Linked DNA regions of Caenorhabditis elegans. The protein of the gene in region 1 interacts with the protein of each later gene in a pairwise test. Each region holds a gene or a part of one and is shown on either strand. Other genes may lie near its edges.

Region 1 (6,926 bases):
TTTTTTGTGAAGTTTTTTCCCAACAAAAGATGTACGCGGAACGTTTTCACAAATTGACATTGTTTTGTTTTCCCTAAAACCATTAACTTCCGACATGTCTCTGTTGGCTTTTCTTCTAGTCACCATCAAGACGACATAACATTTCAATGTATAAAATGGAATTAACAAATTTTATTGAAACTTCAATTTTCTCTTGTAGTTTTGTATCAAAGTGCCTAACTTTGTTTCAAAAAATTTCCACACTAACATTCAATCAAAGGTATTTTTAAACTTCGAGCTAGAAGTTTGTATTTTTGTTTCAAAATACATCATCTTACTTTATTCTTTTCTAGTTGCAAAATCCTAAAGTTCAAATGATGCATAATTGAGTGTATGCTTGTTCAGTTTTGCTGCATATTACCAAAACTAATTATGCTTCTGATTGTTTTAAGGTTACAACACTTTGAATTTGCGTCAATTGTTTTACAATTCTTTATATAGATTTTTAATTGAGTTAAAAATCACCGACTTCCGTTTTAAAATGCCCCTATTCTTACAAAAATTTTAAATTGAATTATCCGCACAATTTATTGTGTGCCATGCCTGTTTATATTACCAAACTGTCATATTTTCTTATGCACTGTAATTTTAACAATGTAAAGTTTTTCACTCGACGTACTATTTTTTTTTGAATTGCAGTAAATTTTGCAATATTTTTGTTTTTGAAAAACTGGCAACCTGAGGAAAACGGAACTGTTTTGTAACTTCAAAGAAGCAATTTTAGAAATTTGCAAAAGTCTGAATTCTAAAATTCTAGTTCAAATCCTTGTGATGTATAAATTATCCTGTCATCTTGGAGATTTTGGATAACATTTTGAATGTATCAAAATGTTAGAATCTGGTTTCTCGTGAAAAATTAAATTTCATTACATCTCAGAATGTTTCACGATTTTGATCTACATCTAATATATATAACAGGTAAACTTGTTCAAAAATTGATTTTATAATAGTTTATATTATGGGCAGCCCGTGAAGCTTGAAATGAGTAATTTAAAAAAATAAATCCGCTGCACGTTTAGCTTAATACTTGAAAAAAAGTTGAACAGTTCTATCTCATCAAATACATCTTTAATCTCTTTTTTTTTGACTTTTGCTTTGTTGCCATAAAGCTATTTCAAAATTGTACCATATGGCAAATGAATGCTTTTAAGGTTTGTTGTTGAACAAGAATATTCGTTAGCCCTCTTTTCGGAAATGTATGCGCTTACATATGATCTTTCAAAACTCCGCCTCTTTTCTGTCTGCGCCATAGCTTCTCTGTGCTCTCTTTTCTACAGTCAAATGTCTTATGCTCATTTTTTTTCAGTTGTGGATCTTGATGTCTCCTCCTTTCCGTTCTCTCGATTTTATTTTTTGCTATTCTTTGGAAAGGCGTCAATTTATTATAGGCAACGCGTGAGCTAAATTTTGAACTTTAGTATAAAAAAAGCGACGAAACAATGCGATACAAAAGCTTGTTCTCATTTACAAAACTGACATTTTACGTAGAGACTCAAGTCTTGGCAAAATTTTAATCACACGAAATTTTATAAAAGTCTGAAAAAAGCTGTGAATAATTTAGATAGCCTCGAACACATGCAGAAGTGTGCAAAACTGATAGAATGCTAATATAATGTTTGAAAATTTTTAACAGTGTGTACCTAGATTTAGTCACTAAAGTATGTGCTATGTTACAATTCTTCTATTTTTTTTTCATATATCCTTTTATTCACTGGTGGGCCATAAAAATATATCTCAGATTGATCATATTTAAATCTCAAACGATGGAAGCCAATTCTAACAGAATAAGCTTTGTGAACCCAACTCAGACCCCACAATACGGTTTAAATGAAGAATTCAAAGGAGATCCACAGTCAACGATTAAAAGTCCAGAAACGCGGGTATGTTTTTTTTCAATCTTTTGAGAGATATAAACTGTGCTTGTTTTAAAGTAAATGGAAAAAATATGAGACATGGTCTTGCGAGCATTTTTTGTTTTTGCCAGTTTAGTGGGGATGAATGTTTACCACTGTCCTTAATTTTGTGACAGATGTTCTTCCTCGTACCGCACCGGCACGAGCACTGGCCGGTGTTTTTTTTTCAAAATCTCCACTCACACTAAAACATGAATAACACCAGTTGCTTTTGTTGATTAATGCTCGATTTTCAAGTTATGCAAAAAAAAAAATTAAGGGACTTAATGAAAATGCGTGCAATGAAAATGAAAGAGTATTTTGCTGTGCTCACATGGAGATACAGAATATCATTGGTTCATCCTCACCCAAAAATTTAAAAATTTTTAATTTATAATATTTTGAGTGGATTTCCAGCTTCCTGCCAAGTATGAACGTTTTGCTCCACAGATGACTACATACTACACATTCCCTCCAGCGAACCCGGCGTTTTTCTCGCAACCGATGTATCCCCAAAGTTCGTGGATTCCGGAAACTCAAAATCCTTTAGTGTATTTTCAAGGTGCTCCCGTGGTGCAGGTAATTTAAACCAGATAATTATAAATTTAAATGTTGTTTCATGTTTGAATTCAGGATTATTCTACATTTTCATCAGCCCCATACCCATCTCAACCACCCAATAATTGGAATGTTCAGGTTCGGACTTTTATTGACACATTTCGAAATTAAAATGTTACAGAATTTTACAAGCTACCAATATGCAAACCAAAATCACCCAGCACAACTGCCACATCAAAAATACTACAATTCCGAGCAATATGCTTTACAAAGTCAGGTAAAAATCAGAATTTCAATTGAGAACAATTACGTGGCATTCCACATTTTTTAAACCTACCATAATCAGACCATGGACGGAAAATTTATTCAGCCATGTAATCAATACCAAATGAACAAGTTGTGTTGTGTATCTCCTCCTTATCAGTACCAACCAAGGACTCCAAATGCTCAAAGCTCGCCGAACCTGAAGGACCTGAATTATTTGGATGTAAGAAAGAAGTTTAATGTTTTACAATTAAATTGAATACGTTCAGTAAAAAAGTAGTGATTTTGGAAGTTATTGTAATAAAAAAAATAGGTCGGAATGAAAAATATAAAAGGTTGACTCAGAAAACTCGAAAGCTGATGCTCACTTAAAAAAAATCGGAATTTTCCTGCAATCGGCAATTTTGGCAATTGTCAGTTTTCAAATATTTTGGCAATTTTGGCGATTGTCGGTTTTCAAATATTTCGGCAATCGGGGATTCCGAAAATTGCCGAAATTGCTGATTGCCGGACATTTTCGGCAATTTTCAAACATAATTATAACTCAAAAAATGAAAAAAAAAATCACCTTGTTAGTATTTGGTTAGTCATTTTCTAATAGATAACGGCCAAAACTTTCAGGATTTAAACATTTTAAGCTTGAAAAGAAAACATCTTCTTTTAAATGCATGTTTAGACTCAAAAATTTACAAAACGTATTAAATTTATGTTCCCGGCAATTCTGGCTTCCGGCAATCGGTAATTCCGACAATTGCCGGTTTTCAACATTTTCGGCAATCGGCAATTGCGGCAATTGCCAAAACTGCCGAAATTGGCGAAAATTCGATTGCCAAACGACAATTGCCGCCACCTCTGTTTCAAATGTAATTTTGCCCTTTCCGTAAAAAAATAATCAATACGTTCATTGTTCATCTCTCCTTGAGATCGTAACAAAACTACCTAAGTGAAATATAATTTTATTTAAATTTTAACTAGTGTCAAAAAAAAAAATTTCATGAAAATCTTAATCATCTTTACAGCATTTGACTCCGTTTTTATTCCCACCGGACATTACTTCTCAATACAGAAAACATAATTGCCGAGGAAACAACCGTAACTCCAAGGTATCAATATTGATTTATTTCATTTTTGAATTGAGTTATTTAGACTAGCAATTTCCGGAGAAACGACAGGAAAAACCAACATGGCCATAACCAAAACCGTTCAAATCAAGTATCCAGACAGCATTTGCCAAACAATAATGCATCATCTTCATCCTCCTCATCAGGTGTCGTTTCCGAATTACCGCTGTCTCCTAACAAGACTGAGCTTAAAATTGTCATATCTCATGGAAATGAAACAGTTTGTGTTCTGAAAACAAAAGGTAACAAGAGTCCGATACAATTTTTTTCTGTTTTTAAATTCATCTCTCGTTCAGATATTGATGGATGCAACGCTCAACAACTTTCGAATGTTGTTGAAATTCCTATGGTACTTGCTCCCTCCCTCTCAATACAATCTACTGACTCGTTCAACTCGGCTTACGAAGATGCCGAAGAATCTTTAATTCAACCACAAACTAAAAAGAATGAAGGTGACGCTTATGGAAAATATAATTCAACGCTCACAAATTGTCAAACAAGGAACCAATCGGAGAAAATGAAATCATCGCAATGCTTGATCGCAGATGTCGCCGAGAATGAGAGCCCGAATGAGACAGGGCCTGCTGAATTCAATATTTTTTGTACTGTACCGGAACAATCTTCTAAACGCTCAGAGCCCGACGTTATAGTTTCTGCTGCAAAATCAGTTACTGAAGTTGAAAATACAATACTTGCTGAACATGATACCGCTACTGCTGAAAACTTTTCGAACAACGATGAACCAATTCTTCTTAGCGTTACTAATCTTCACGATGAAACAAATAACAAATCAATAGATGTATCACTGAATCACCCATTGCCACCTTCGACAGAAACTGGAGTTGTCAGCGGCAAAGTTTCACAATTGGAGGCACCAATCAGTACAATTGTGCAGGAAACGATCCGAATCCTCGCCGAGAGAAATCTACTCCGTGACATCAATGACTTTCATCAAGAAATACATTTGAATGTCATGCAAGAAAATATTGGACAGTCTCTAGATCATGCTGCAATAGAAAATGAGGAACATCCAGAAACTGAAAGTTCCTTTGAAAGTTCAAGCGGGTAAGTTTTTTTAAAATGAAATTTCTTACGAATATTATGATACTCCAGTAGTTCCAACCCTTCTGTCCCCATTGAGATTGATCAAAAAATGCAATTCAACAAAAACAATCCATGGGAAAAATTGGAACAATATACTCCGTGAGTTTACAATAAATATTAATTGAAAACAAATTATTATTTTTGACATTCATGAAATTCAATTTAAGTTCTGAGTTCAACCGCCATTGTCATTAAAATTTCAGACCTTCAATCATTATAGTCTCGTGCGCAGATTCTTCACAAAGCCCACACAAAGCTTCGTAAGTTGACAACGGAAGTATTTTTTATAATGCACATCATGTTTTAGAACTCTCAAAAACCCCGGTTACGGCTGCTGTTCGGGCATTGGCAAGAAATCAAAATACAATAAGAAAGTTGACAAGAAAGAGTGAGTTGAACTAATGTGAAGAATGGTAAACTTGCATACAAACCAGACTTTTAGTCCTGAAAACGATGTTACAAGAATAACATAGGCATAGCTGTTTCGGAGTAAACCCCGGCCCTGATACTGAATAGGAACTAAAAAAAATATTTTACTTATTCACTCATTTGTTACTGAATCATTAACACTTATTAAAAAACCACCTGATCATGAGAATGCATACCGTTCTGGCGCGCGAATATCTCGTAGCGAAGGCACCTAAATCTTACATTTTTGAATGATATCTCGTTGCCGCTTTTTTTTTTCAGAAAATAGGCATTCTCATGAATTCGTGGTTTTTTAATAATTAATCATTCAAATGTGGCGAAAACATCTTGATAGTTTTTTCCTTTTTTTCCTGGGCAGTTATGTTGTCTGTGTACTCTACAGGTTCACTTCTCTCTACAGGCTCACAGGCCATTCTCGAGGGAAAACCTGTCAAGATGTTGTAACGTAGAAATTGAATGTATCAACTATGTTGGTGTAATAACTACTAACTAGCATAGTTGGTACATCATCAATCTTTATGACGTTGGTCGGAAGGATTCATGGCACTACTGATTTGACGTGAAAGTGGATAACGGGACTGAAAATAAATTTTACAGAGTTCTCCACTTGACAAACTTTCAACTAAACTAAGCAACGGAGCTGTGCGTTTCATTCTATCTGTTTTTGTGTTTTTTAGCTCATTCTCATTTTCCTGTATTCTTCAATTACTTTGTTTGTATAATTTTCGTTTAGCAAAATTTGGAATCCCAGTTCGAAATCCGGCCACACAAATCTTCTCTTCAACATTATGTGTATTCAACAGCAACCTTTCCATGTTTTCTCTTGAATATCAACTTTTTACGGTCAAAGTTGATCAAAATAAAATGTATCTTCTTGTGGATTTTTTATGAGCCCGAGTAGACTGTTTGAAAAAAACCTGTTTATTCACATTTGAATTCCACAGAGATCAAAAATCAATTATTATTTGTGGATACTCCTTTTTCCGCATCATTCAATTCTTCAGCTCGTAATAATTCCGTTTTCTGCCTCCATCTTCTTGGCTTACATGCAATTCCAAGAGTTCGGACAGCGAAGAATAAAAACTCAATCACGCTCATAATGCTTGCGCCTGAAAAATTCACTTTTTGAATTGCGAGTTACTCAAATTGTTTAAAATCACCTAAAAACAAGCCAGCTTGGCCACCCATATCGGCCATCAAGTTGAACCAAGAATACGACTCAGATTCTCTCAATATCTCATAGCTCATTTGTTCATAATAAATTTCAATCATTGCGGCGTGTTCTCTGAAAATCGATTTTTTGTCATTAACTGTCAACTAATTTATTTGAGAATAAATGTATTTTAGAAACAAAACCATTTTTCAAGTTACATGTTATATCCAAAAATTCTTTAAAAAAATGTTTTCTGATATTTGCCGAGACATGATTATTATCAGGTTTTTACATAGAGTTTAAAACAGTGCAAACCTTAAATAAGAATTGCAATCTTTTGAATGATTGTCACACGATGTTTGTATA
Region 2 (4,201 bases), on another chromosome or scaffold:
TTTTTAAAACTTTGAAGCGAAATCCCGTAATTTCACGAGATTACCTTCACAAAGGCACACGGATTTATTCAAATGGGTCTCAGCGCGCAGCGTAAAAAAAGTAATTTTATAGAAAACTGCAAGGAAAATAAACAAATCGCAAAAATTTGCAAATAATTACCATAAACTTTTTTGCGCGCCGAGACCCATCTGAATTAATCTGTGCGCCTTTAAGTAGGCACGGTGAAAGATTGTAACATTATGATTTTTTTTTAATAAAAATTATTTTTTCAGGTCCCTCCCGGCCGAGCACGTAACTATCGTGACGACATCACTGTTATTGTGATCCATTTCAATGAAACCTTCCTCGACGGTCACGAAGACGATGAAGAATAACTCTTAAAATTAATGCCATGCACACATTTTTATAGTCTTTACTGGTATTATCCCTATTTTAATTTTTGTAATCTCCCCTCTGTAGAGACGACGACTTTATGCCAAAGAGTCTCCCCGGTCTTTGTCTAGGTATCTTTTCTTGTATATAATAGTTGCATTTATTGTTAATTGGTGCTCAAGATCAATGATTCTTTTCTTTTCTCACATCGAAAAAAAAACATACAATCACAATAATTTAATGATTCAGTTAGTACATATCAAAGTGAGACAAAGGAATGAGATGTTATGTTTGACAATTTGGTGAAATTTTGGAGTTGGAGATCTGTCGATTATCGCATGTATCCTGGCTGGGCTCCTGGTGGAGGATATCCTTCGTATCCGTGTGGTGGTGGTGGTGGACCTCCAGGATATCCAGGCATTCCTGAAAGAAAATAAATTTCAGTGAATTTATAGTTTGAGGTGCAGAATCTTTGAGATTGGATTGGGATATAAAAATTTCAGAATTATTTTTAGAATGTACAAAAAGGCCAAAATTCCCCTGAAGTTTTTTTTCACCAATTTTTATTTTTTCGGGAAATTCTGGGAATTTTTTAACTCAAATAAGGTATTTTTCCACAATAATTACCTTGCGGCGGGTAAGGATAAGGCATTCGCTGTCCACTCATCTGCGGTGCTGGCTGTCCAAACGGTGGATACACAGGTGGCGGAGCTTGTCCATTAGGCTGTTGTTGCTGCTGCCGCATTTGTGCTTGATAAGCTTGATGATTCATCATCTCGGGTGGTACACCACCACCCATTGGCGGAGGAGCAAATCCGTGAGGCGGCTGCATTGGACCACCTGGACTTGGTGCCGCCTGTGGTGGCATCATTTGTTGACGATGGTGAGCGGCAGGAAGTCCTTGTTGAGGATGTGGATGGCCTTGTTGTGGTGAATGTTGTGGTTGTTGTTGTTGGAGATGTGGTGCCGGAGGACCAGAAGCTCCGGGTTGAGGCTGTTGTTGGTTAGGATCTGGAAGAGCGGCAGCAGCGGTACCATCATCTTTCAGCTGGCTTAGAAGGAATGGGTCTGCGAGATTTGAAAGATGTAACAAGTTCCGATGTAAAAGTTGTTGGTGTTTGATGGCTTCGTCAGCACGGCTCTGAAATGATTTTTTTATGATTAGAGGAGGAGTAATCGGTGCTCGAATTTCGAAATAAATTTTTAAAAAACGAAAAAATTCCATTAAATCTGAAAAATCGTTTGAATTACCGCTCTATGGTCTCTAAACTCCGCCCATGGAGCCATTCCGCACTTCAATTTTGAGGCAGAATTTTTTGTGTTTTTTTCTAATTTTTAATGAATAAAAAGGTCATAAACGTTTTTTTTTTGTATTTAAAAATTATTCAATAGAAAAAAAACATTGTTATTGTAGAGCTCTATAGAGTTCCGCGAAATTTAACAAAATCGATACGATTTTTTAAAAACAATTTTGCACATTTATGACGTATTTCTTTATTAAAAATTAGAAAAACAACACAAAAAAGATAAATTTGTGCCAAAATTGAAAAGTGCGACACGGTTCTATGGACGGTATTTATAGACCATAGTGCGGTAATTCAAATGAGGAACAGTTGAAAAATCGCCAAAATCATCTTTTTTTTCATACTTAGCAATTTTTACGATTTTCTTTTGTGGTATTTCGGCATTTGGGAATAGTGAGTATTTTAAGGTACTCCTTTTTTGCAAAAAAAAACAAACAAACCTGATTTAAATATTCCTGTATAATATCGATCAGCCTTGAGTTTTCATCGAGTAACTTCTGCACAGTTGACTGTTGATCTGGAACATTTGTTCGCATCGCTGGAGGTAGATGTGCCGTTGACATCTGGTGATTTATAAGAAATATAGAAAATAAACAGGGAAATCAAATTTTAAAAAAATACAAGTTGGATATTTTTGAAACCAACAAGAAACCAATACAATAATAGTTTTCAGTACAATATCGAGATAAATCTTCATTTTCTACACAAAAAAAAACAAAATCTAAATAGAAGCGGTTCAGTTTACTTCGTCTTTTAATAGAAATTTACTTAGTTCCAATTCTGGTTCTTCTGTTCCATGAGAAGTTTTGTCCGTAATTCTTTGGCTTAATCTTGCGCTCATGTGGCTCCTCGACGTCAAACTCCCAGCGATTCTTTTCACAGAAAGCGATAGCGTCCTCTTTTGTGGCAAACTTGAGATCCATTCCAACATTGGAGAGTGGATCCGCACTAAATTTTTTTTTTAAACTTTAAACTTCATTAAGATGCTACTCACGTTCCAGACCATCCCATCAATGGATTTTCCCATCTTTGACGATTATCCAGCTCAATGGTCCAGGACTTGGTATTACCCCAAGCACTTTGTGTAGTCTCTCTTGCTGGACGGAAGATGCGAGCGGTACGGGCATCTTGGTGATCAAGTGGAACACCTCCGATATCCATTGTCTCATCGGATGATACTTTTACTGGAGTCTGAAATATTTATTTCAATAAAAATGTCAAGTATAAACAATTTAAGTGCAATTCGCTGAATTTCGTGTATTAAAACAGGAAAAATCAACATTTAAATCTTACTTTTTGAGACGGTTTGTCAAGAATATCGTTGAGCTCAACCTTTTTGGCATCATGCGATCTTGTGACCGGTAGGTTGTCCTTTCCAGTCGAGAGGCAACGGAAAGCCGTGTTTCCCGCCGAAAGGCAACGAGAGGCTCCAGCACGAAGCATCTGTAAATTACTCCATTAATAAATAATTTAAAATTACAATACTGTGACGGATTAGAAAAAATAGAAAAGAATATTTAATTAAAATCAATAAATTGAGAGGAAAAAATATGAAAATAAAAAAAATGTTCGCGTTTTCAACGACACTCCGGTATAACGGTACCGCGTGTTGTTTATCGTAAATCAGATGTTTTTTGAGCTGAATTCATTTTTTAATTCGTTCATAATTTTAGGTCTAAAACTATAATTCAATAAAACTATAATTCAATTTAAACCATACAGATTGTTCTTTTACATTTAATTAATCAATTTAAAAGTATTTCCTAATAGAATTTCTCATAATTCACGAGACCCCATTGTGTTTTGATTTTTTTGACAGCTAGTGCTTGTACGAGAACACATACCATTCCCTTCTTGTGACTCATGTCACTTTTAATATTTATCACAATGATTGCCTTACAGTCTAAGTACATTCTTCACCCTTTGTCTCCCGTTGTAATATCCTTTCTAATTCTCTTGTGAGCTGTTCTTCTGACCTCAACCACCTTTTAATGTTCTTGGATAATAAACTTCATGAAAATTGTCAGTTTTTACACTTGTAACCACTCTTAAATTACCGCTTTCACAACACTTGTTTTAGTTTTCAGAATGTCAAGCTCCAGCGAGACCCAAGTCAACGTAGACACTGAAGAGGAAAGCTCGGTTCAAACATTGGAAGAATCAGAAGAAGATGAACAAGGAGGTGAGGAAGACGAAGAAGATGAAGAAGAAGAAGAAATAGACGAGGATCACTGGGTGGTAATACTGCAATTTGACTGAAACAGAAATACATTCAACTTTTTTTCAGGTCGAAAAAGTACAAGAAATGCGGTACAATGGAAAATTGAAAAGAGTCGAGTTTCTCGTTTTATGGCAAGCTGATAAATCGACATCTTGGGAGCCTATAGAAAATTTTCATGGTGGATATGAAAATTTGGAGATACAAAGATTCCAAACAGAGCATCCTAAACGATTTGAAGATGTCACTAATAAGGCAACTGTAGCAAATAAGAAAGGGAGACCGAAGAAGCAGCAAACATGGATT

What was found.
Region 2: the proteins of E02H4.2 (region 1) and ZK973.9 interact in a two-hybrid assay, tested with the Caenorhabditis elegans proteins (one large-scale study listed by BioGRID).

The regions. Positions count from the first base shown.
Region 1 is NC_003284.9:14,276,476-14,283,401, reverse strand, and holds E02H4.2 (MIF4G domain-containing protein), read left to right. Parts: upstream 1-1,775; 5' UTR 1,776-1,802; coding exon 1,803-1,919; intron 1,920-2,348; coding exon 2,349-2,510; intron 2,511-2,564; coding exon 2,565-2,627; intron 2,628-2,670; coding exon 2,671-2,766; intron 2,767-2,859; coding exon 2,860-2,976; intron 2,977-3,772; coding exon 3,773-3,856; intron 3,857-3,899; coding exon 3,900-4,116; intron 4,117-4,170; coding exon 4,171-4,939; intron 4,940-4,987; coding exon 4,988-5,077; intron 5,078-5,181; coding exon 5,182-5,238; intron 5,239-5,285; coding exon 5,286-5,366; intron 5,367-6,004; coding exon 6,005-6,038; 3' UTR 6,039-6,280; downstream 6,281-6,926. Other genes in the region: Degenerin del-1, read right to left, coding at 6,362-6,516, 6,568-6,692, 6,876-6,926.
Region 2 is NC_003279.8:4,369,899-4,374,099, forward strand, and holds ZK973.9 (SS18 N-terminal domain-containing protein), read right to left. Parts: upstream 2,241-4,201; 5' UTR 2,214-2,240; coding exon 2,118-2,213; intron 1,515-2,117; coding exon 1,001-1,514; intron 797-1,000; coding exon 705-796; 3' UTR 521-704; downstream 1-520. Other genes in the region: pdp-1 (PPM-type phosphatase domain-containing protein), read left to right, coding at 274-375; lpd-5 (NADH dehydrogenase [ubiquinone] iron-sulfur protein 4, mitochondrial), read right to left, coding at 2,442-2,625, 2,672-2,868, 2,971-3,120; cec-10 (Chromo domain-containing protein), read left to right, coding at 3,766-3,915, 3,965-4,201.